Linked DNA regions of Schizosaccharomyces pombe. Changing the gene in region 2 together with the main gene of any one other region gives a genetic interaction. Each region holds a gene or a part of one and is shown on either strand. Other genes may lie near its edges. The genes, in order: rec11, rec8, hhp1 and sgo1.

Region 1 (7,408 bases), on a different chromosome or scaffold from region 2:
GGAAATGTAGCATGTGGGATTATTCGACGAGGATTTCGAATTGTCTGACAAAATGCTTGAATTCCCTCGATATTAATCAACATGCCAAACAAAGATGATGATAATTAATAAAACAATTGTGTTAGTTTTGTTGTGGATTAAACGATGATAGAACACGTCTTAGATTGCTGAAATTATAACTTGTTGGTGTCCAATGAGTTTAGAGTTGCTAAAAAATGAATAAATGAGATAAATTACTACGTATGAATACTTAATTAAAAAACATCGAGTGGGTTTTCTCAGTTCTTAAATAGACTTGAAGTATGTAATAGGCATCTTTACTACTAAGGATGAACCACAAATGGCTGATTTTTACAAAACAATAGATGTCTGAAAGCATACTAACATACACCAGATTGAAAATACTAGACCTGTGCAAACATCGTTATACAAGGTGTGATGGACTGTCAATGATCTCCCAATAATATTTGTGAAACCAATGCAGGACGTGAAACAAATATGAAGAGAAAAGGTAAAAATAGTTATGTTATTTATAAAGTTTAAGCCTAACTACATAAAGATCAGTAGCAACAATTAGTCCAATTAACCCGTCGATCATGCCCAAAGGTCGGATGAGACGATTGTGTAAAGGTAGGACAAAATTAAATTAAAAAGGTATTAATCCAAAAAAATAAAAATGGTTTAAGGGGTATCAAAAAATAATTACAATAGAGATACCCGTAACGTTATTTAAGTATAGTAAAAGATATAGAAAACAAGATGGAAGAGGGAATTCGGAAAGATAGTTATAAAATAGACAGTAGTTCCAAGTCTCTGGGGGATAATAGGGGTGGTTTAAACGACAAACTTAGCAAACGGAGTGGAGAAAAACTACTACCTTAGGTAAGATATAAAATGCCCTCGAGTGATTGCTGTAGGAAATATTAAGACAATGATCCGTAATAATAAATATCGTAGGCTTAATAATAGCAAACTAACTCAGAATATCATTGTTAACAACTTCTGAAAGCAAACTCAAATCACACTTAGTACCCAGTTGTGAGCAAAGGCGCTAACTCGCTTCATTCTATTCTCCGAGTACTTTCGGTAAATGGCATTGTGATGGTTAGGGGCATCGACCAAACATTCCATAATGATTATGGCACACGGTTTCAATTGACGAGCCGTGTACCCACTATAATATACATGGCAAGGAGTCCAATCCAAATGACCCAACATCTGCATAGACAAGTAGTAGGCAGTAGCAGCAATGAAGCTAATATGGGCACCTATAAAAATTTCATCCATCAAGGTTACTTCTTGAAGATATTTGGCGAGCATGCGAATGTCGTGATCGTAAGAATCAGCTCGACTTATACGACGCAAAAACGACATGGGCCCTGGCCAACTAATGTCAAAATCCAAAAGCATCAGCATATAGCGCTCGGCTCTAATGATTTCGTCAACGGTGAAGATCCCTTGGACAACATGCGCAAAGTTGTAGATGCTTGGAGGGTGTATCTCTTCATACTTACAGGCAATCAGCAAAGCTGATAAACCTACCAACTGGACTTTTTGCAAAGATACGACTTTTATGGAAAGAAACCGGTCGATAAGGTTTACCGCCAAAAATAATGTCTCAGGAAGTAAACGAAAATGTATTTGAACTTGCACAATCCAATCAACAAGCATATGTCTTGTAACCCAGTCAATCTCTTGCTGAACTGACATGTAATTAGGAGGTGGAGCCAGCTTCCTTTCCAAAGATTGCATGTAGTGAAATATCTCAGGATCATAGTCTGGTACCATGGATGGATCAGTTTCTATATCCTCAGGCGATGGGTTAGCTTGTAATCGAGCAGCAGCTTCAGACAGGGCGGCTAAATCTTCCTTGGTCCACTCGGGAATTGTTGGTAGTCTATGCTTCCCGTGTGTAAGAATTCCTTCAGGTGCGTCAAAGCTGCCCTCACGGTTTTCCAAATCATCATCTCCAATAGACTTAGGAGTGGAGCGAATTGACCGTTCCTCTATCTCGACTTTGTCCTGGTATGCAAAATCCTCTTCAAAAGTGTCGCCAGTGGACGAAGAGATGGAGGATTCATTATTCCCTTCAATCAATGTTGGTTCATCTTGTTGATTGATGTTATCTACTGCCTTGAAAGGTGCACGAACACCCGTATTTAACTTGATGTGACTTTTCTTCTTCACATAAATGTGATCCTTTTGTAGCTGATTCTCATCTTGAAAATATGTTGCGTGTCTTGTTTGAGTCGAAACGTCCATTAGTAAACCAGCACACACTTGTTTAGAAAGTTTTGGACATGCGATGAAAGTCGGTTTTCAAACTGCCTTTTACTCAGGTAGGAACCCTAGTCTTCTCTTTGGAAAAGATCCTTAAAAATTTAGATGCTTTTCGACTTCTAAAAATTCGAAAAAATGACTCTACACCCAAATATATGAAGATACTATTGAACGAAGGATTCGAGGAAAGTAATCTTTTGGATTGACCAGAAAGATTAGTACTACAACAGTACAAGAACTAAAAATCTCAAATGAAACCAACGAACAAGAGTATTAACCAAAAGTTGGAGTAGGACTTTGCAAAGGAATACCGAGCTACTACTAATGAGAAAAAGGAGTTGGTGGGTTCTCAAAAGGGGTCAGGGAAAAGCCCGAAATTCCGAGTAAAAACGCGTTCTTATTCATAAATTAGTTACTTTATGTTTCAAAAGTAAAACTTTAATAAATTATTATATACTTGATTGCAATGGTTGTATGTGAACTGCAAAATAATTAATGACTGACTGACGCGACTCGTGTCACGTAAACAAACCCATCGTTTCTGTTAGATTAATCTTTGCCATAACCAACCACCATCGTACCAATTAATTGAGTGATTTCAATGAGATTCGAATTTGAATCAGATGCAAGCAGTCATCTCAATGAAGTCCTTACTGAATTAGAAAGCGTGGAGCTTGAAAATGTTGAATATGAAGGTCCAAGTTTACAGAATGTCAGCATTTGTGCCTCGCCCTCAGAAAAAAAGCGGAAATGGGGAACACAAGATGAATTTTCTTTGACGGAGAATGAAGAAAATAATGAAATAGAGACGAATGAAGAGATGCACGTAAATTCTCATGATTATGCCTTTCCACAAGAATTTTTTCGTAAGTTTGCTTGCTTATAAGAGAAAAAAAGTCTTCGATAATATATTCTAACAAGCATACGAAAAGTCAAACTGTTGGATATAGATATGCCGCTCGAGCAACTTTCTCAACATTATTTTGAAGACTATAAAAGTAATAGCGCTGACTTCATGCTGACCTTTATAAATTTCGCATTAGTTGTAAGTTTAGCAGGAATGATCCGCGACGTTTTCTAGCTTTTGCTGTTTTGTTTACTCTTCCTTTGAAACGTAAACTAATTCATAGGCCTCTGGTTGTCAACCCTTCGTTACGAACTTTGATGTACAGGACGTAGATTCAATTCCTGAAACATTGTCTCAGGTCAATCGTTCAAGTTTTCAAAAGGTGTGTGCATCATCTTTTTGTAATATTTACTTACCATACATATCGCTAGTCTTCTTGCGCTTATACTGATTATCTTTATACTTCTAACTCTAAAGAAGCTAAAACGGTGCGTATTCGTTTTCAGCTTTTTTTGGTCGAATTCATCAGTAAAGTTTACGTGGAAGACGCATTCCTCGGAGACTCATTCATGGAAACTACAAAAGCTTGGATTTTTACCATGACGACAAGTCCTTGGATGCTTGTTAGACATACTGCAACAACTATTTGCTGTGATATCATGCGATGCTTATGCCTTATAGTAAACAAACTTTCCGAAAAATCAAATCAAACTGCGGAAATTCTGGTACTGAGAGACTTAACATCTAGGTTCATTGACATGATTCACGACATTTGTGATAGGTTGGCAATACTACTTTTCTTAACGACTCTAACCTTTTTACTAGTGTACTATTCTCAAGGATTCATGATATACGTGCAAGCATTCGTATAGTGTGTGTTACTGCTCTATATGATTGTTGCCAATTGCTTCCCACCTATCTTATAAACAGAAATTTGATTAGACATTCTGGCTGGGGGTTATCTGATGCAGTAAGTGTATAAACAATCGCTACTGCTGTATCATTTAAATACTAACTGAACGTATAGGAATCACAAATCCGAAAAATCTCCTTAAAAATAATAGATTATCTTTCTTCTCATGAACCTGAAAAAGATCAAGATTTTGTGGTTGATTTTCTTGACAGATTCTCGTTAAGAATTGTGGAGATATGTCGGTACGATATTGATTCTGTTCGATCTGTTGCCCTCAAGACATGCGAGAAACTGATGGAGAAAATATCGTTGAATGGAAAATGTATCAATATTGTTTCTAGCTGCATATTTGACGGGAAGCCCCAGAATCGAATCTCGACAATGCGAATCCTCGTTGCCCATACTAATGAACGCTACGCAAATTATTGTGAAGCAAAGACTGCAACAATCAGCTTATCAAAGCTCTTAAGGCGTGAAAAAATCCCATTGTTAGTTTCCAGCTTTGAAAGCCTATTCAAAATGAATGCGTTATTATTCATACTTGAGCAAGGATTTGAATCTTGGTTCCGTGATAGCAGCGATCACATCTTTTCGCGTGTGAAAGACGATGACAAATTTGTATATCAGTCGCAGGAGAATAACTTTTATGATGCGGATTTCATACGAGAATATGATATGAATAATCATAGGCAGCAATTAATTGAGGAAAGCATGCATTCCATTCATACAAACTCACAATTACTTGCCAGTTGGGAGGATGTTGCAAAGCTCTTGCTTTATGATCGCTTTGATGCAAAAGATACTAACAGTGTCTTAAACCCCTGTATACCGAGCAACGCAGTGATAGAATTTTCTTCTATCTATCTCCATTATTTTGCAACACATATTAGCAAAAGAGTAAGTTATTTAAAGCTTCATATTACTAAACCTCTAGTCGAAGAAGCCAGGTAAAAGACTTGAAGATGAGGTCGTAAACCAACAGCAAGCAATGTTACGAAACCTTCCATTACTATTACAGAAATACAGAGAATCTTGTGTTTCATCATACTTTTTTATAAAATGCGTAGAGCAAATTCCTGACGAGCTTCTTTATAAGAGAGAATTTCATAAGGACTTTTCAAAGTTGTATAAAGAAATACTGGATATATTTAATTCAACTACCGTTAACTTCCTGATGATTTTGTGCAGCAGATTCTTCCACCGATTGGCGGTCAACAAAGTTGTACAGGAAGATATATTATTTGCCATTGACAATGTATATAATGATTTAGCAGAAAGTTTACACGAGCAACTCAATGCATACATTCAAAGAAAAAAAATAAACAAAAAAAATCAGTTGAATGGCAATGAGTAAGGATTTTTCTTTTTGTTATTAGATTGCTAACTTTACAAGTGAAACGCAAAACTTGGTTTTAGCTTTAAATAAGTTTGGATGCTTTGCAAAGGAAATGGTCTGTCTGCGAGACGTCAATGATTGGAACATTAAACTGTCAGAAAAATTATGCGAAATTTGTAGTCTTGAAGTCGGTCCTATCGTCTGTTATTCTTCTTTGAAAGTTTTATTTCTTCTTCTGCTTTCTGATATGAGAGATAGAAACTGTATTTTTACAAATATATTTTTAAAAGCAGCTAAGGTTGCGAAGCAAAAAAATGGAAACTCCTTTTTAAGCAAAGTTTTCGTAAGTCTCTAATGTTGCTGTCTATCTATCTTTTATGACTGTTGATTTCAATCACATTTAGTGGAGTAAAATGCTAACTATAAGCAGATTACAATTACGATGCTTACATTGTTTCTTGGATCAAAGGCAAATAATTGGGATATAAATTTTAGTGACGATGACTTGAAATTGATGAATGAAGAAGAAATCATGGAACAAATTGAAACTTTTAAAGCATGGTCAATGAAATTTAAAGAGAAATCATCTGGAAACCCTTCTTACTTTTTTTCACCCGAAGATACTGAGGAGAAGGAATTATGGAATAATCTGTTTGAGGATTGGTATCCCAATCGTGCTAGAGATCCTGGAACACTGAGTCATTTAGTGAAAGGTTTAAAAGAAACAGCTGACCATTTATCATAAAACGAAATTTTAACACTAATTAAACCCCGAGGGAAAAGAGATAAGAAAGCACATGTGCTAACTTTCTTATTGAGGCAAGGAAACTTATTAAACAAAAGGAAAAGACATTAAACTCTATTATGTATTTCCTATATGATTATTCCAACGAAACTAACTCAAAAATACCTCAATTTCAAATACTCAATTTTAATTAAACCCTGAAGAGTGGGAGCTCGTGTGCTCGCTAAAACTACAATGCATGCCATTTCTTTCTTTCCAGCCCTTTGTCTATATATGAGTTTTCTTAGGACTTACTGGTTAATCAAAAGGTACGCCTTATGTTACTAAGCAATAGAAAATGTTTTTGAGGGATGCATAAATTAAGTTTAAAAAAACAAGACATTAAGATGTTTAACATATCAATTAATTTTATTTGATTTCAATAAAATTGATAATTATTTGACACTTTAAAATAATTTGGTGGTGCTACAAGTTATGTAGGCAATAGTTGATCGTAGGCAAGTTGGATTCAACCAACACCTTTTTGTGCAAGGTATTGTAAAAAAGGGTTGACTTCATCTCATTAAGTTAGTTTGAGTCAAAGAATATATTTGAGGAAAGACTCGGCTTCAATATCAATTTTTTTTTCGATAAAAAAGTGTACTGGCTAAGAATTGAATTACTTGACAGAATACCGAAATGTCGACTTCTTTTGCTTGCACGACTTGTACTGTGGCTTTCAATAATGCAGAATCACAGAAAATACATTGGAAGTCTGACTGGCATCATTATAATCTGAAGAGAAAGGTTGCTAGCTTGCCGCCGTTGAGTGCTGAGGTGTTTGCTGGAAAGATTTTGTCCATTCAAAAGCAGAACGAGGAAGTCCAGAAAAAAGCAGAATTTTATCAAAACTGTGAAGTATGTAATAAAAAGTTTTATTCAGAAGGCGCCTATTCATCACATATGGCTTCGAAGAAGCATCGCGATAACTTGAGCAAATTTCAAAGAAACAGCCGTATTAAGAAACTTCAAAGTGAAGATGCAAGTAGTATTGCTTCTTCAACCTTGTCAATGGGTGAACCTGTAGTTGATAGCGAAATTGAGGAAGAAGAAGATTTAGCTTCACAACTGACATCAAGGGCGATATCCCTTTCCAACTTATCTCTTCATGGTCGAGAAAGTGAACCCTCTAAAACTGAATTGGCTACTTCCATACCTCAATCGAACGAAGCTTCCAAGTCTCATCTATTTACACAAGAACCAACTCCTGAAGAAATTGAAGCTGAACTTGCTCGTCGAAGTAGTCAA
Region 2 (5,767 bases):
GCATAAGCTCGACTATACCAAATTGCTTCAACATATTTCTTTCCAGAATGCTTATCAATTGCTTTTTCGTACAATTTACAAATTACCCCCAGATAAAAGCTTGAGTCTCCATCATGTACAGTAATATCATCTCCAACGCGATATATTACATCGTTTTTCTTTAAAGATCTGTAATAAGAACGTCCAGCCTCTTTTTGAAAGGGCTCTTCAGTCCAAACACCGTAAACTTCCTCTTCGTCAATATCAGAACTGTCAGCGCTGTCATCAGATAGCAGACTTTTATCAATGCCGTTAATTAATAGTTGACTCCTCAATGACTTTCTTCTAGGCATATTAAGAGAAGTTCAACACTAGTTTATCAACATTGCAATGGTCAAAGTTATCCTGAGTTGTAGTGCTGGACTAACAAGACTCGTATACTATAGAGGCTACTGTCATGCTATGTACAACAGCCAACAAATAATATACCACAATTTTAAGATATAATAATTAGATAAATTTGGTAAGTAGTTAATTAATTTTAATTATTTATCCGCTAGCATTATCATTCATTAATCTAAGAAAAGTGTTATACTATACTATTTAAATGTTATTACATAGTCAATTATTTTGACAACTTCAACAAAGGGTTTAATTCCCAAATTCAACGTTTTAAAAATTTTAAGTTTAACATGTGAAAAGTTTCAAATGGCATCGGTGCTTTTTAGGTTTAAAGAGACACTAATTTCAGAGTATGGTTTATCCTGTTTAACTAAAAATGCAGACTTAGTTGCTAGTGCTATTGTTTTGTTAGTTCGTGGTTTGATTGTGATACTTACACAGTAAATGGCTAAATGCCTGGGCCACTACAGGTCGTTTTAAATCATTGGGTAATAAGCTTGAAAATGTTATGCGCCCATTATTTTCATAGATAGCCGTTTTTGCATACTCATAAAAGTTTGCGCATTCTTTTTCCATGCTCAACATTAAATGTGCATTTTCTTCTTGAGTATTTTTGTATAGTACGAAGTCATCAGAGAGTTGTAATGAAAGTTCTGAGTTCAGAGTTTCATGAAATTGACTTGATTCTAAGGCAGGAAGAAATTCTACCCTACTCGGCATCGATGGGCTATGCGGCAAGCGCTTCCTATATTTAGTGTCAAGCAAGGGGGTGGAATGCTCACTACCAGTTTGAGAATGGCTTTTAGAATTTATGGCACTGTTTGATCGAGATGAAGTATTCCAAGGTATGTTTAAACCTAATTCACCCTGAACATCCCGTCCAACTTCAACTTCAGAAGTATCAATGTTCCTCAATACATCGTCAATTTCAGAGGGAGTATTGTTTGATGGTTTGAGCTTTTCAATCCATGGTTTTAAAAGAGGATGGAAAGATTCCCAATCAAAGAATTTGTTCAATTCTTTCTTCTTTGCCGAAGAAGCTCCTCTACGACGAACATACTTTGTTGCTTCCAAAGCAATCATTCGTTCAACATAATTCTTTCTCCATTGGGACAAAGTTCGAGTAGACAGTTCTATGTTTTCATCTGGCTCCAGCAGTTTTTGGACCTTTCTTCTTTTTAAAGCTCGCGGTTCATTTTCATTATGCTCTGAATCCATAACAGATTGCAATGGAACGGGTAACGGTAAAACGTCCTCATCGATTTCGAACATGTGAATCCTTGATTCTTGTTCTTCACTATTGTATTCTCTTTGAACGGAACCAAGATTGCTATGTTGTGAAGCAGCTTGTAGCGACGGATCCGAATTTATAGTGCCCTTGGTCAATTCCTGGATATCCCCGTTTTCATCAAACTCAAAGTCAAGGGGCTCTTCTGTAGAGAAAGCTCTGGAGTCCTCGTAAACAAAGCTCGAAACATTGTTTCGTAAACTATAATTTTGGCTGGTATTGATCAAATAAGAAGTAGAATCTGGAAGAGTTTCAAGAACTGAAATATTGGGATTTTCCTTGGGTTGAGTGAAAGAACTCATGTCAACATGTAGATCCACAGAAGGTAGATTAAATGCATCGTAGAGACTAACTTCAGGGATAAATGCAGGATCTTCTGCGAGTAGTAACTGCTTTGGGCTAAAAGGTTAGCAATTTGAATATCTGTCATATTATCCAATAGTACTCGTACTTCGTTTGTTCATTCTGAATATCGATATTCTTAAACGGTTTTGAAGTGAAATGGTCCAATTCTTTTCGAACACGTAAATGAAGAGTTGAAACTTGGGCTAAGCATAATTAGTAAGAAAATTGCCAGCCTAAACTACTGTCATCACATACAATGGAAAAATGAGTATTGATGGGCCCATACACGCGTTACACCAATCATTAAATTACTACTTAATCGTAGTGCCAACGGTTCTGGAGAAAAGGCAACAAAATCGCAAGCTTCATCGATATCTACCGACATAATGTCTTTCTTGTGAAGCTTGCGTAATGAATGTTTTGAACCCAATGTAGCAGCGAGCCTATAATTATTAGCTTTATTATTATCTTGTAGTAAATCTATACCAAATTACTCCCATTCCTCCCTTTTCCTTTGTAAGAACATCTTGATTGTAAAACATGGTGAAAGACAGGAACGCGTTAGTTCACCAGATAGCTTATTAAACGCGTCAAAATTATATTTGAAGTTCAAGCATAGAAATACCGCATTGTTAAACCATATGAGCTAATCTCACATAAAATCGTTATTAACGAATACTTAACAGCTCGGCACATGTTATCCAACGTATACTGCAGTGAAGTCTCCATTGCTAATATATATTGTCTTATTAAAATCTAAGTAAGGATTGAATATTTAAATATCATTACTTTGATTGAGTCAAAACACAATGTAATGGAAGCTAATGATTAATAATTGAGCTAAGATATGTGATTTTAGTGCCCTTTCAATCTTGAGCTCTCCTACCAAGGTATCCATAGTTAATATTGTACAAGCAATTTCATTATTGTGCCACTAGATCGAATAGAGATTATACGAATATAACAAAACTTAACGTAAGTTGACATAGCTTATTAAAAGATCGTGGAAATTTTTAACGCACTATTATGCTGTGAACGATGTTTGTATAATAGGTTAAATAAAGTCATTCAAGTTGTACTAAGAAGTTTGAAACTCAATAAAAGAATTTTAATAATAATGGTTAAACATTTCAACATACTGCTTGAAACCATTCATAAATACCGAAATTTTATCTATCTTTCAACTGACATTTATTTGTATTGATAACACATATGATTGCTAGTTATAAAATGTTTCATTAATGGAGCAAACTACATAATACTCAAATCACCAAACTTTTCACGGTAGCCTGGGATGACCCATTTGCCCTTGGTAACCATTGTTTCAACAATCTTCTCAATTTCGGGAACTGCTTGTTTCATATCCTCAATGGTAATTTCTTCAGTAGGCCTAGCTTGTTCAATGTTCTTCAATGTAGCACTCAAATTCTGTAATTCAGCTTTGACAAGTTCGACATTCTTCTTAGCACCCTCGCTAGCTTTTGCTTCAAATGCATTGATCGCTTTGAGTTGCGAATTTAAATCAATCTTCACAGGTTTAAAAGATTTCATAGAAGACTCAATACGATTTACAATCTCCTTGTTGGCTAAAACACTACGATAGGTAGCAAAGTCGACTGTGGTAGCCTGCTCTCGCAATGTACCCAATTTGGCAACTGCCTGAGCATGACGAGAGCGAAAATTAGCAATAGCAGAAGCAGTTGCGGCATCAAGCTTCAGCTTGCTAGCTACACTAGCCCAATCAATCGCCTTTCCAGCAGCGCTAGCAACTTTCGACATTTGCGTAAATAAAGAAGAAAAAATTCAAAATTCAATAAAATAACAGTTATATTGTTAAACAATTTAACTGTCTTATAAATATTTCCTGCTTTTGGTTATGTGTTGAAGAGATGGGGGTAGTTGGGGAACGGATGATTTAGCATTGCCAGAGCCATATTGCCAGGTGGTTTGGCTTTCAGCAGTAGGCTTCCTTAATGGTTCAAAAAATATCATATAATTGGGTAAATGAAAGCAACAAGTACAAAATTACTACAAAAAAAAAAATTAAGCGGTTAGAATAGAACTTGTGCCCTACAATTAGTATACGCTCCACTCATTCTTGTGCTAATAGAAATTCAAAGTTAGCTGTAAATTTTGATTTACCGGTGTATCACCAAATCACTTTGTACTTCTCATGTTTAATTTAAGATTTCATTTTTGAATGTCGAGAAAAATTATTTAGTAATTGGTTTATTGATAATTTATAAATAATATAAAAGAATTACCATAGTAAAAAGGAAAAAGAAAAGTTCTAAACATATTGCCATAACTATAGTTACTCGCGTAAACGTGCTTCCAATTCTGCTTTACGAGCTTTACGAAGCTGTTCAACCTCATCTTGACTAGTGTTATAGCTCACATTCATCTGAAATTGTTAGTAAAAATGATATTTACAATGGTTTTCCTGTTTAGGGTTTATACATGATATGGTCATCATCAAAAAGAGTATGCATGTACCCTTATCGCTTCTTACCTTATTGAAAGGATTGTCCGGATGTTTCTGAAATTCTTTATACATTATGTCTTCATATTGGTTTAAACGGAGGCCCGGTTGTTCTTTGCGTAGTTCAGGCAAACGAGATTGTTTGTATTCTGTCAAAGCTGCTTTAAACCGACGTTCAGGATGACGATCAATTTTATCTTTGGACGATGAATTGTTTAAACTTAACAAATCCAAAGCATCATCAATATTGCGGGCACTATATGAAGCTGTCTGAGGGGTTTCGTTGAGGAAAGCGTCTAAAGATGAATTCTTCTTTGCAGCCTTCTTTGACCCCTTTCCTCCTTTAGATGGAAGACTCTCCATTTCTTCTTTTTCTAAACGTTCACGTTCAGCTTTCCTCTCCAACGCAGCTTTTCGTTTTTCAGCTTCTTGCTCCTTTTTATTAGTTTTGACGCCCTTGGACCATTTTTCGTCTTCTTCAGCGTCTTTTTTTTTCTTTTCCTCGTCTTGTTTTCTAGATTTTGCCGCTTCGGCCTTTTCTGCTCTCTTTTTTGGATTCCCCATATCAAGGCTATTAATGGTATGTGAGATTTGAATGACTTGAACAACAGGTGATTTCTATATGCCGCCTCGTTATAAGAAAGGCGACGAAGGATGGATTAATAATCTGATCTGATAATTTTTATAAGTGAATGTCTCGTTATATCTCCCTATTTTTATCAGTGTATTTACAAAGGTGTATTGATAACACTGAACAAACGGCGTCAAACGTTGGTATGTAACTGAATTTTTATCACTAAAATAGAAAATAAAAGTTCTTAATTGGAAATCTGCTACTATTTATTTCCTTAAATGCCTTGATGCAGGCTAAGGGTATATTGAATGGTATAGACACTGCATAATACACCATAAATCCTTTTTATGACATGATGGCATTCTTAACAGTGATAACTCATTAAAAAGAGAAACAAAGTCAACCGATGTAAATTGATCATACTCTTCAATTACAATATTATATCATGACAATTGTTATGGACTTCGATGTGTATTTCATGAAGTTTGAAAAAGTAAAATATATCATCAAATTAAATGCTTATTCTTGCCAAATTATTCAACAATATCGTACAGTGAACAATTGCTTTCAAGTATTGATTAGTTTATTGTAATCTATATAAGTATTAAACTTCATCTTCGATACAAATAACGTACAAACTAACATTCCGATCATCTTAATTGTTAAAGGAATTAATGAATCTATAATTCTAAATTAT
Region 3 (6,092 bases), 710 kb from region 2:
GTTACGATGGACTAAGGTAATCAAATGCCACGAAGGTGGATTTAGACTAGGATTATCTTTGTAAATTTTGGAAAAAAAATTGGTAATAGGAGTTGAAAAGTTAACTACACAGGTATCTTTACTTGAGCCAATATGAACAACTACAGTCTTTTTGGATGCATCAAGTAGTAAGCGAAAAAGGGTTGATTTCAAAAAATCAGAGATGAGAAAAAGGGTAGTTGGGGCATAATTGCCATCATCGTTCATTAGAGACTCAATGTTTAACCAAAGGGAAACAGAATATCCATTAATTGGCATTACAGGAGAGCTCAGCGTAAAATCAATAGAAGAGTAACCTTTTGTCGAAGGATTAAAATAAAAAGATGGTGCAACAAGGTGGGAAAGAGCTTTTAATAACCATGTTCGAAGGAATTCAGACTTGGTTTTCAAATATGTACGTAAAACCTTTGCAGTAGAAGCATTCGACACTCCAAAAGTGGCACAATGTAATGTGATCTCATTGAGCAAATCTTTCGAAACATCCGACAATGGAAAAGAAGTGGGAGGCTCGAAAAGGTATGTTAAAAGGAAATGCATAGTTTTGGAATAACCAATTTTAATAGCGTTTTCAGGAGAAGAACGAATAAGTGCACGAAGGTGAAGTAGGATAAGATTGAAAATGGAGATAGAAGGACAGAGAAGAAGGACTTGGGGTAAAACATTAGGGAAAGCTAGCGGTTTGATGGAAAGCTTCTGTATTGCAGCTTCCACTACGCGAGATAACTCAACAAGAGATGCATTGGTATTATCTTGCAAAGAAGGTACAAGCTTCAAAAGCGAAAAAGTACTATCGTTTTGGGCAAAAGACAAAACAGCCAGAAGTAGCCTAGTTTTTAGGTAATATGCACTACATATCTTGGCCTTCTTTAAATCCTTACGATCTTCATCATAATCAACGTCAGAAGATATTGAAACTGTCTCCGATTGGGAATCAATCTCTTGCGCCCCTTCTGACTTTAAATCTTCATTAGGAGAAGCAGCTTGAATAGAAGAATCTGTCTTGGAAGAAGTACCTATTGCATAAATGGAAATATTGGAATCATCCTGTATAGCACAGAATGAATAAAACATTCTTCGAATAGCGAGCTCAATCCATGCCTCAATATGTTTTCTGGATAGTAACCAAGAACGCAAGATAGTATAAGAAGTTGCAATTCCTAATATTTGCAAGCAGCATTCAAAAATATCAAGACTTAGTAACGATTGAAAGTTTAGCTTAGTGACAGCCTTCTTAATGGCTGCAAAGCCATTGTCAGTAATAAAGAGTTGTGGAAAAAAATTACTGGGAATATCATTTCGAATGAACCCCCTCAATTTTCGTAACTCTTCTAACAGAACTTTTTCTGAGGGACAACCCTCAAGCCTCGATAACAACTCAACGCTTTTAGAATAGGCATTCGCCTTTCTGTCCATAGCAGCTTACTTGAATAAAAGATAGAAGAAAGAACCTAACAAAAATATTCGTTCCTAGCCCCTGGTGCACAAGTTTCGTATTTATTTCGATAAACTCTGGTCAAGTGAGTGTATATTATGAATAGGTCATGTGAGTTGAAGCAGAGAGAAATGGTTTTAAAAAAGAAAACGATTAATATATATAATCGATGAAATTAATGAAAATTGATGCTTGCTTAAATTTATCGTTATTGAAACTGGCAATAATAGTTCGTAGTGGTTGGCGGTGAAGTATAGCGGTGATAATGATTTCTTGCCAAACGAAGTGAACTATGAAAACTTGCTGTAGAAGAGAACTACACCAAATAGATAGTAAGTAAAGACAATTTATTTCTATTTCATTTATGCTTGTTGATTTTGAAGTAGGTGTCATCATTCTAAATTCATCTTATTGATAATTCAAAAACTTACAAACAACACCTTTCTAGTTTTTTCAAGTATGTTTACAAACTAAAATGAAAAGCAAAATATTTATTATATTTAGCAAACAGAAGTGTGAACAACATCGAAAGACACTTCATGAAATGAACGCTTCAATAAAACAGTCAAGCACGAGATCATGCACCCAGAACACGAACTAAAACAAACCATTCATCCCTCGAGCATTAAGTCATTGAATTTAAACGCATCTTAAGCATCCTAAGGTTAAACGACGCTGATTAAATGAGTTCAGCTTGGAAAAGACGGTATCTATAAAGAAAAGCAGCAAATAGCTGATAATATATTATTAAAAGTATATGAATGCAATGCCTTCTAATTAGATTAAACCCCAAGGCTCATCACACATAAAAAAGTAACCAATTTGCTTATGGCGTCGTAAAAAAAAGGCTTTAAACCACGCATAATCTGTCACCAGGATTCGTGTTAAGCGAAGATAAAATTATGATCATTTCTGCAGAAAATTCTCTCACTTTTTTCTGTTCCTGGCTCGAAACATATATGATAATGTATGAATAGATTCACAGGTAGTAAAAACAAATACCAAATGTATTATTAGCAAATGTACTAATATTAAAAAATTTTTCACCAAAACTTGCCATAATGAGGATATGATCATGAGGTTAGCATAGAATTTAAGTCAACACAAGATCTTCAGCCAAATAAGCTATGAACCCTCAATAAACTATAAGCAAAGTAACTTTCGCCATCCCAAGGAAAAAGCCCTGCGCTATCAACAAAATTAAAGGACGTCTGGAGGATAAAAGGCAAGTATTGGAAGACTCCAGATGAGAAGAAAATATAAAAATAATGTGCCCATGCTATATAATAATAATATGAAAGGCTAATCAATTAGGTCTGTTGATATATTGAGCTCCGGTTGCAGATGGATCATTTATAACAGGAACGGTTGTATTAATGTCTCCGCCTTTTTCATCAAAGTTTTGTTTTTGATAATTTCTAAATGAAGACCTCTCTGGCGGCGGATTAATAGCTTGAGGAGTTGCAGACAGTTGTTGCTGTAATTGCTGCTGATGTTGTTGGTCTTGTTGAGTCTACAATTTAAATGTTAGTAAATGTGACTATGTAAACTTCATAAAATATCATATTACATTGGTTTTCAATAACTCGGAAACCCAGAAAATAAAAAAAGCACTATTACCAAGATATCTCATACCTTTCTCTTCAAGGTCCAATCAAACATATAGTCAAACTCATAAGATTGCCGACAAAAAAGATCTCGGAAAAGCTTGCGAAGGTAGGCGTAATCAGGTTTGTCATCGAAACGTAAAGATCTCGTGTAATTGAGATAAATTGAGAACTCCTGAGGGAATCCCCGACATAAGACCTCTGTAGGCGTAGAGATCTTCTTCTCCATAATCTTTTCATACTTTTGCTTTTTCGTGGTAGCCTTCAATCCCTGCCAAGGCAGGCTACCACGACAAAAGTAGACGAGCACATAACCTAAAGATTCGAGGTCATCACGGCGGGATTGTTCAATACCTAAATGAGTATTGATGCTAGCATAGCGTGCAGTACCTGTAAGATTCTTGTTCTCGCGATAAGGAATGTGCAGGTGAGTTTTGTGATCACGATACTTCTTAGCCAATCCGAAATCAATTATGTTAACTTGATTTCCTCTTTTACCTATTCCCATTAAAAAGTTATCAGGCTTAATATCACGATGAAGAAAAGATTTTGAATGAATGAATTCAATTCGAGAAATGAGCTGGTCCGCAAGGAGAAGAACTGTTTTCAAAGAAAACTTTCGATTGCAAAAATTAAACAAGTCTTCCAACGAAGGACCCAATAAATCCATCACCATAGCGTTGTAATCACATTCTACACCGAACCAACGAACAAACGGGATTCCGACCCCTCCTGACAAAATGCGATAAACTCTGTATTCATACTCCAATTGAGGGTGTTTAGCACGAGTTGATTCTAGCTTGATAGCGACCTCTTCACCAGAAACGACATTAGTCCCAAGATAAATGTCTCCGAAAGATCCACTGCCAATTTTACGACCAATGCGATACTTGTTCCCAATCCGGAGGTCCAAAGCCATAATAATATTATAACGCTTTTAAGGCTAAAGGCACTCGCTTTTTCTCTCCAATATACTATAGATTGAAATTGAATGATGTGGTTGAGGTAAAAGTAGGGGTTCGAAAAAGTAGAGCAAGTTAGGTAACGTAGAAGTAAAGAACTTAAAGTAAACATAACGAGAGTTAGCATTGCTTTATCAAAATAACGATAATAAATTATAATACAAAAAAAATTCGCTATGCGATTAAATTATAATAGATAGTGAATTTGCGAATATTGATAGTTTACGATGAATGTAAATAAAACATACCTACATACATTCGTACATCCAATATCTATTTTTAGAATGGGAGCGTGATGCTTTTCTTGGTTTCTATTTTATCAATTACCATTTACTGAAAAATGTAAAATGTAAGGTATGGTTTATTAACACTAAGAATAAAAGGCTAATAAAATGTGTCCTTTATAACAGACTCTTCCTTGTAATCTATATACAAAATCTAATAATATTTGAGCCCCAGTAAACGAATGATCTAAAAAGATAGAGAAAATTCGGGTTCTCAGACGAAAATAAAAGCTGTAAGATACACTGTCTTTCCAGTTGAAGCGAAAAAGACCTCCAACCGAATATTGGAGTGCGAAAAAATAAAATGAAAGAACATTTTAAAACAATAAGAAAACCTTTTTCGGAAATTTAATATTGTAGTTCTTTACATAAGAAAAGCGAAAAATGCAAGGCATTTTTCTGTTCTAAATAAGAGTTGACTAATTCTCCATTGAGATTATAAATAATTTGGGTCAGGATTGTGACGACTGAGCGAATAGAATAAAATAAAATAAAATAAACTGACAATGGGCAGGATAAAAGAAAGGGGAAAAACACGCAAAACACTGATCTAACAATATGTACAATGAGCAGTGCGGAATTAAACTTGTAAATGAAAGAGAGTAATGAAATAGAAAGACAAGGCACTTAGAAATCTATAAGACTAACCTTCTTTTTTAGTGGAGAGCCAATTAACGGTTTGTAAGCTAGATACTTCTTTTTGGCAGACTCTAAATGAGTCATCTCTAAATCCGTCGTAATTTTGAAAGACGAAAATAGATCAGCCGTTGGAGATAGCGATATTTGAGAAATGGTTTCTGGATTATTTTCTCGTTGAGCGTCATTGGACATAGATGACTCATTAGAATCACTGCAAGTAATGAGACCAAACTCATAATCATCGGACAAAGTTTGATCCAAGAATGAGTCGGCATTAAAACAATGAGAATCAGGAGACCCATTAACGAATGGTTCTAAATTTTCTGCTTGAGTATCGAAAAAGAAGGCATCAGAAGGGTCCTGAATCATTTGCGTGTCAGTGAAAGGATCAAGAGGATTCAGCAACTCCGAGTCATCAGTCTGTAAACATTTAGTTTGCAGTATATCTTGAGGATCAACTAAGTACATTTCCTCGTCGACTAAATACTTAGATGAGTAACAAGCCAAAACCCATTTAGGAGATACACAAACGATTGGGACTTGAGCAGAACTAATTTTCTTGAGAGTTTCTTGTGAGCAGTCGTAGAGTACTGCGTGAGAAACGGGATTTTCCTCGGTCATTTGTAAAGACGCATGAACAGTTGCGCCCAATAGACGCAATTGTTCAGTAACGATTTCCATTGAAAACATACCTTCTCCGATTTCAACGTAAGCATGGACAGAGCTCAAAGGGAATTTTTGTTCTGTTTCATTAATTTTTGAAATGGTAAGGCCTTGTAAAGATCGAGAAAGGTAAGCCATGGGAACCGTTGGGTTCCATAAATCATGAGGATTTTTCTCATTCATGTCGGTTTGAAACAATCCCTCGTTCGGGGAGTAGTCTTTTGATAGAGGAAAGAGGTATTTAGATGGTGTAATTATATTACTTTCGTCAAAGGATTGGCATATTTGACTGGGGTCTTCTTCACTTTTGGGATTAGTGGGATTACTTTTTGTTTTGGATAATTTCTTAATTTTGTTATCGCTATTTGTTTCTTTTTGTAGAGAATTTTCTATTGTCCGGCTGATACGATCATTGTTGAGCGATTTGCTACTATTTGAATTTAATTCATCGGAAGGAATTGAATGT
Region 4 (4,694 bases), 1.6 Mb from region 2:
ATCGTAGAAAGTGATGCTGATGACCAACTCTTGTTTCAGGTACCGTTTGCAGGTGCGGCAACACTAAAATCAATTTTGGTTCGCATTTTTCCTAATGAAACCGCTCCACACTCCTTTTCACTTTTTCCCAATCGTACCGACTTGGATTTTGACACAATCGGTGATGTCCAAGCCACTGAAACATTTGAATTTCCCTTGACTTTTGAAGGAAGCCATATCTTCGAGTTTCCTGTTAAGACTCGTCTCTATCAAAACCTTCAAAATCTCAATATCTTCTTCACCAAAAGCGACGGTTCTGATGATCCTACACAAATCGCCTACATTGGTCTTCGTGGTTCTTTTGTTCCCTTCAAGGGTGATCCTGTTGTAACCATTTACGAAGCTACTCCTAGACCTTCAGATCATCCCAAAGTTAACCAAGAGGAGGTTTTCCGTTCTTACTATTAAGCTCCCGGGAAGTTTAGATTCCTTCCTTTTGGTTTTTTCCTCTCTTATTTGAGATTTTTGTTTTACCCAAAGCAAAATAAAAAATATATATGAAACGATACGAATACGCTTTGATTTGGATTTTTTTTAATGACGGTTATTTAAAGAATATCTAACGCCCTTTTTCTTTTCTTTTTCTTAAATGGCTAAGTCTCCATACTTTTTTAGCTTATGTTTAAATGTTGGTTTGTATTTATTGGCCGATTAATTATGTGTTTATGTAAAAGAAATGAGCCTTGATTAGGTTCTTTTTTTCTTCCTCTATTATTTTTTGTTTTTCTCTTGAATTTAAATGTTGCTTGCAGTAGATTAAATTATAAATTAGCTGTGCTATAAATGTGAAAATATTTAACAATGTGACCTCAATATAATTTATGCTTTGCCTCTGGGATGTCGTTTGCGTTTTCTATCAGATGGTAAGTCAAAGTCTCGTCGTAGTTTAGTTCGCAAACTGGGTATTGCATAGTTTATCACTTTGACTGATCGTCTTAGTTTTTCACGTCCATTAATCCTTGGTTGAGATTCTTCAAAATCACATGGGGAGCTGTCTCCGGTTGCTTGTCCTTTAAGGTCAGTTATCTGTTCAGCACTTTTACAAGGAATACAAACACAAACATTTGATGTTTTAGCCTTTTCTTCTTCAGTTTCGCCCTCGTTGATGGATTCAAATTCGTTTTCTTTTAATTCCTTTGAAAAGATGGTGATATTTTTTTGCGGCAATGAGTAATTCACCTCATCTTGTGGTATTTTGTTTACGTGGGCATTGGTTTTATCTTTTAATATACATTTTCCAGGTTTTTCAGATAGAGCCGGAGGACCATGGACTTTTTTTTGGAAATCTTGAAAACAATACAATGGTTGCCCTGTTTCGAGACTTTTAAGTTCATCATTAAATGATACATACTCCAAGCGTTTATTATGCAAAATCTGATAATCTTCTTTCGAATCTTTATTTTCACAGGTTGTAAATTGACTTTTTACATTCGCTTCGAGGAAATCTGATGAACACTTTTTCTCTATAATCTTCAGTAAACTTTGCACTTGTGAAATCTTTTTGTGAATGGTTTGTATCTCAGGAAAGAAGTTTTTTAACAAGTCCTCAGTTTGAGATTGATTGCGAAATCGAGCTTCAAGTTTAACCAAATAACTTTTCAAAGTGAAATTTTCTTGTATCAAATCTTGAATTTCGTTTTCAGATTCTCTAATTTTTATAGAAAGCTGAGTATTTATTCTGAAAGTTAGATGTTTATTATTTACCACAAGGGATTCAAAAATGGTGTACTTTGACCTTACTTTATAATTTCACGATTTTGTTTTAAAAATTTCTTTTTCAACGACTCCATCGGCAATTTATCTTCATTGTTTATATTTGAATTTATAAATTGAAAGTTCATAGCTTTTTTAAAGCTTTTTTTGCGAAAAGCAATTAAGGACTTGCTGATGTAAACAAACCTGTTAAGTGTAAGGTAAACAATCGCAAACTAAAGTCTTGTCATATTGAGAAAGGCTCTTTTCTTTAAGGAACTTGCCAAATCAATGTAAATTAGTATATAATAAATTAGATGAAAGATGGTTGTACGACTTAATGCAGCCCATATCCTGAATAAAAATTGATAAAAAGAACATAAAATTAATTACTGCTTCGCTATCCGACAATATCCATCCAACTCCTGAGAGATTAAATGTAATATTCGACGAATTCTTTCATCAAACTTTTGGAAATAATGATGCAATTGTGAGAAATTAGATTCGTCCGTGGTCTTTCCTATTGCTATAAAGTTAGAGGACAAGGGAGCTTTATACTTTTTGAAAACACCTCTAAAGAATTCATAAGCTTCCAGTATACTGGTGAGATAACCATGAAAAACAGTACAAAAACTGAGATCGTAAGTCTAAGTAAGTAGTCGGTTAGTATGCATCATTAAGAAAACGTGTTAAACATTGGCATATTATATCAACGAACGTTGAATTTAACTACATGCAAAGGTATAACATTATCAACCCTAAAAATTGCAGATACGTCTTTTGGATAAGATCCCTTACATAGTAGTCCGCTTAAAATTTATGTAAAACTTACTATAGGTAAAAGCTCCATGTTCTTGCTAGCATGGTCTTTTCCAAAAGGGTATCTTATGCTGTCTAATATTGCTCGAAAATGTGAAATGCTCCTGGTCGTAACGTAAAACCCTTTTTCAGTCAACAAATAATTCCGAAACTCAGCCGTAGTAATATAAATGGAACGAGCAACGTCTTTAGCATCGCCATCGGATTCCTGAATTAGACATTGTATGTTTCTAGCATGAGATAACAAAGCGACCGTTCTAACTGTTAGCCATAAAATGGTAAAGAGTTTCTTATAAAAATGTAATCGTATTAAAATGGGTAGGTTAATACCAGATACGAACCTTTTTTTAAAATTGTTTCTAACCATAAACGAGTCAAGTGCTTTTCGGTCAAGTGAGACTCCATGGAAGCGAATTTTATCATTTTTAGAAAATCTAATAAAGTTAGTAAGTAAACTCATAAATCATTCACTTTAAATTTTAAAACTTCAGGCGACAAACACAGAAATTCTTATAATTACACACACATTTCAAAAAACTTGGCTATATATGCTTCATTTTTATTAATTCTATCCTCAATGGAGCTATTAGATATCATATTTCGAAGCCGCTCTTGTCAATTTTAGACTCAAATCGTTTAACACACATGCACATGCATGTGCACGCACTAAGAAGTTAGAAAAGGGAGATCTATTTAACACCTGATAAAACTTGGGTTAAAACTTCAAGTCTACAGTCTTGATACGAAATTATATCTACGCCATAGAGAAAAAAAAATAAAAATTACATACTATGGTTTGACAGATTTTAGCGTTAGTTTTTGAAGAGGTCGTATACAGCATATTAGGTATACGCTGCAGTAATTATAACCCAATAAGTCAAAATTTTTTCTTTATTTGTTGCTGATTGTTTCCTTTACTAAAAAGGGATTTACCATTACTCAAAAGAAATTACCTAGTTTCCAATAAATCATATGGCATTTGTCCAGTTCAAATACTTTAAGACACGTATAGTTTATTTTTTGAATGTCCAGCTAAAAAATATATTACACGAATCAGTATAAAAAGAATTCCTTTCTTTTATTCTATTTATTTGTAATTGAAAACGAATTAGCTTCCGTTGTCATTTTACCAATTGTTAGTACCTAGAATACATATGGTTTGGTTATATATGTGTATGTATATATTATTTACTACAATAGTACAATGTCAGTTTTAAGACAATATTGAGTTATGTTAAAGGAAAGCAACATTAAAAGATTAAACGAGAACCAGCAAAGTAGGCTAGTGCCAGCAAATTTGCAATCGAAATAATTAAAGAATTTGATTTAAGCACCCGCTCAAAGACGCTATACAGCGTTTCTCAAATTAATATTAAAAAAAGATGAACCATTTATCCCGTACTCTGAAAACCAAATCATCAAATGATTGATATTGTGAAAGCATATCTACCGCATAGTAGAACAACACTTATTTAAGTTAAGAAAGTGAGTGACTCTAACAATAGTTGAAGCTTCGAAACTAAGAAAAGCAACGACAGCATATCATATCAAAAAATCCTCCTTTTGCTTCCGAATCAGAATTATCGTTAGGATGATTTACTCCGACTGCATTATTCGAGGGCTGAGATACATACATAGGTCGAACCCTATCGTAACCTCTAGAAGAATGAGCATAAATTGTTTTTTTAGAAGCAGACTGTTCTTGACGCACCAATGGAGCGTTTTTGCTCGGCAACGCATCGAACGATGAGTAATTTCTAGGACCTCTCACCCCATATGAGGATTTAAATCGCATGTTCTGTGTTTGCAAAGTACTGTTCTTTTTTCTGGAATCATCATTTTGAACAACATTTAAGCCAAGGTAATTCTTTCGTCGCTTCATAGCAACAACAGAAAAATGAGAAGAGCTTGACTCCCAACCTTTACCGTCATTCAATAACATCCAATCATAAACCCCATCATTCGTATCACCATTTGCTCGAAGTACATCATCAAATAACTCTTGTAAAAACGCATAATCCGGTTCTTCATCAAATTCTAACGAACGCACATAAGTCATGTATTTACTGAATTCATTAGGAAATCCAGCACAAAGCTCACTAATGGAGGTAGATTGCTTCTTTTCACTAATCTTTTCGTATTTG

The links.
Region 1: of rec8 (region 2) and rec11, changing one enhances a phenotype caused by changing the other (phenotypic enhancement), as found in Schizosaccharomyces pombe (one study listed by BioGRID).
Region 3: of rec8 (region 2) and hhp1, extra expression of one impairs growth in a mutant of the other (dosage growth defect), as found in Schizosaccharomyces pombe (one study listed by BioGRID).
Region 4: of rec8 (region 2) and sgo1, extra expression of one is lethal in a mutant of the other (dosage lethality), as found in Schizosaccharomyces pombe (2 studies listed by BioGRID, with this or other methods).

The regions. Positions count from the first base shown.
Region 1 is NC_003421.2:1,222,399-1,229,806, reverse strand, and holds rec11 (meiotic cohesin complex STAG protein Rec11), read left to right. Parts: upstream 1-2,838; 5' UTR 2,839-2,881; coding exon 2,882-3,146; exon of another isoform or gene 3,147-3,212; coding exon 3,213-3,325; intron 3,326-3,340; exon of another isoform or gene 3,341-3,410; coding exon 3,411-3,509; exon of another isoform or gene 3,510-3,558; coding exon 3,559-3,908; intron 3,909-3,952; coding exon 3,953-4,097; exon of another isoform or gene 4,098-4,154; coding exon 4,155-4,937; exon of another isoform or gene 4,938-4,974; coding exon 4,975-5,390; intron 5,391-5,433; coding exon 5,434-5,719; intron 5,720-5,806; coding exon 5,807-6,121; 3' UTR 6,122-6,499; downstream 6,500-7,408. Other genes in the region: cardiolipin synthase PGP phosphatase domain-containing Gep4, read right to left, coding at 1-83; G1/S-specific B-type cyclin Cig1, read right to left, coding at 1,015-2,262; rei1 (ribosome biogenesis protein), read left to right, coding at 6,800-7,408.
Region 2 is NC_003423.3:2,565,727-2,571,493, reverse strand, and holds rec8 (meiotic cohesin complex kleisin subunit Rec8), read right to left. Parts: upstream 2,557-5,767; coding exon 2,501-2,556; intron 2,492-2,500; exon of another isoform or gene 2,458-2,491; coding exon 2,270-2,457; exon of another isoform or gene 2,218-2,269; coding exon 2,121-2,217; exon of another isoform or gene 2,069-2,120; coding exon 819-2,068; exon of another isoform or gene 779-818; coding exon 684-778; 3' UTR 501-683; downstream 1-500. Other genes in the region: origin recognition complex subunit Orc1, read right to left, coding at 1-332; atp7 (F0-ATPase subunit D), read right to left, coding at 3,266-3,793; oxidative stress transcription coactivator/ribosome recycling protein Oxs1, read right to left, coding at 4,329-4,418, 4,527-5,060. UniProt on the Schizosaccharomyces pombe protein: Involved primarily in the early steps of meiotic recombination. Required to ensure reductional chromosome segregation.
Region 3 is NC_003423.3:1,852,812-1,858,903, forward strand, and holds hhp1 (serine/threonine protein kinase (CK1 family) Hhp1), read right to left. Parts: upstream 4,100-6,092; 5' UTR 3,998-4,099; coding exon 3,107-3,997; intron 2,985-3,106; coding exon 2,778-2,984; 3' UTR 1,862-2,777; downstream 1-1,861. Other genes in the region: lvs1 (beige protein 1), read right to left, coding at 1-1,452; mug176 (BRCT domain protein), read right to left, coding at 4,952-6,092. UniProt on the Schizosaccharomyces pombe protein: Involved in DNA repair. Has a probable role in repairing alkylated DNA and may regulate the activity of protein(s) involved in double strand break repair caused by gamma rays.
Region 4 is NC_003423.3:966,888-971,581, forward strand, and holds sgo1 (shugoshin Sgo1), read right to left. Parts: upstream 1,881-4,694; coding exon 1,780-1,880; exon of another isoform or gene 1,718-1,779; coding exon 859-1,717; 3' UTR 849-858; downstream 1-848. Other genes in the region: poteasome interacting protein Txc1, read left to right, coding at 1-447; SPOM_SPBP35G2.04C (uncharacterized protein), read right to left, coding at 2,121-2,378, 2,564-2,984, 3,077-3,147; serine/threonine protein kinase (CK1 family) Cki2, read right to left, coding at 4,070-4,694.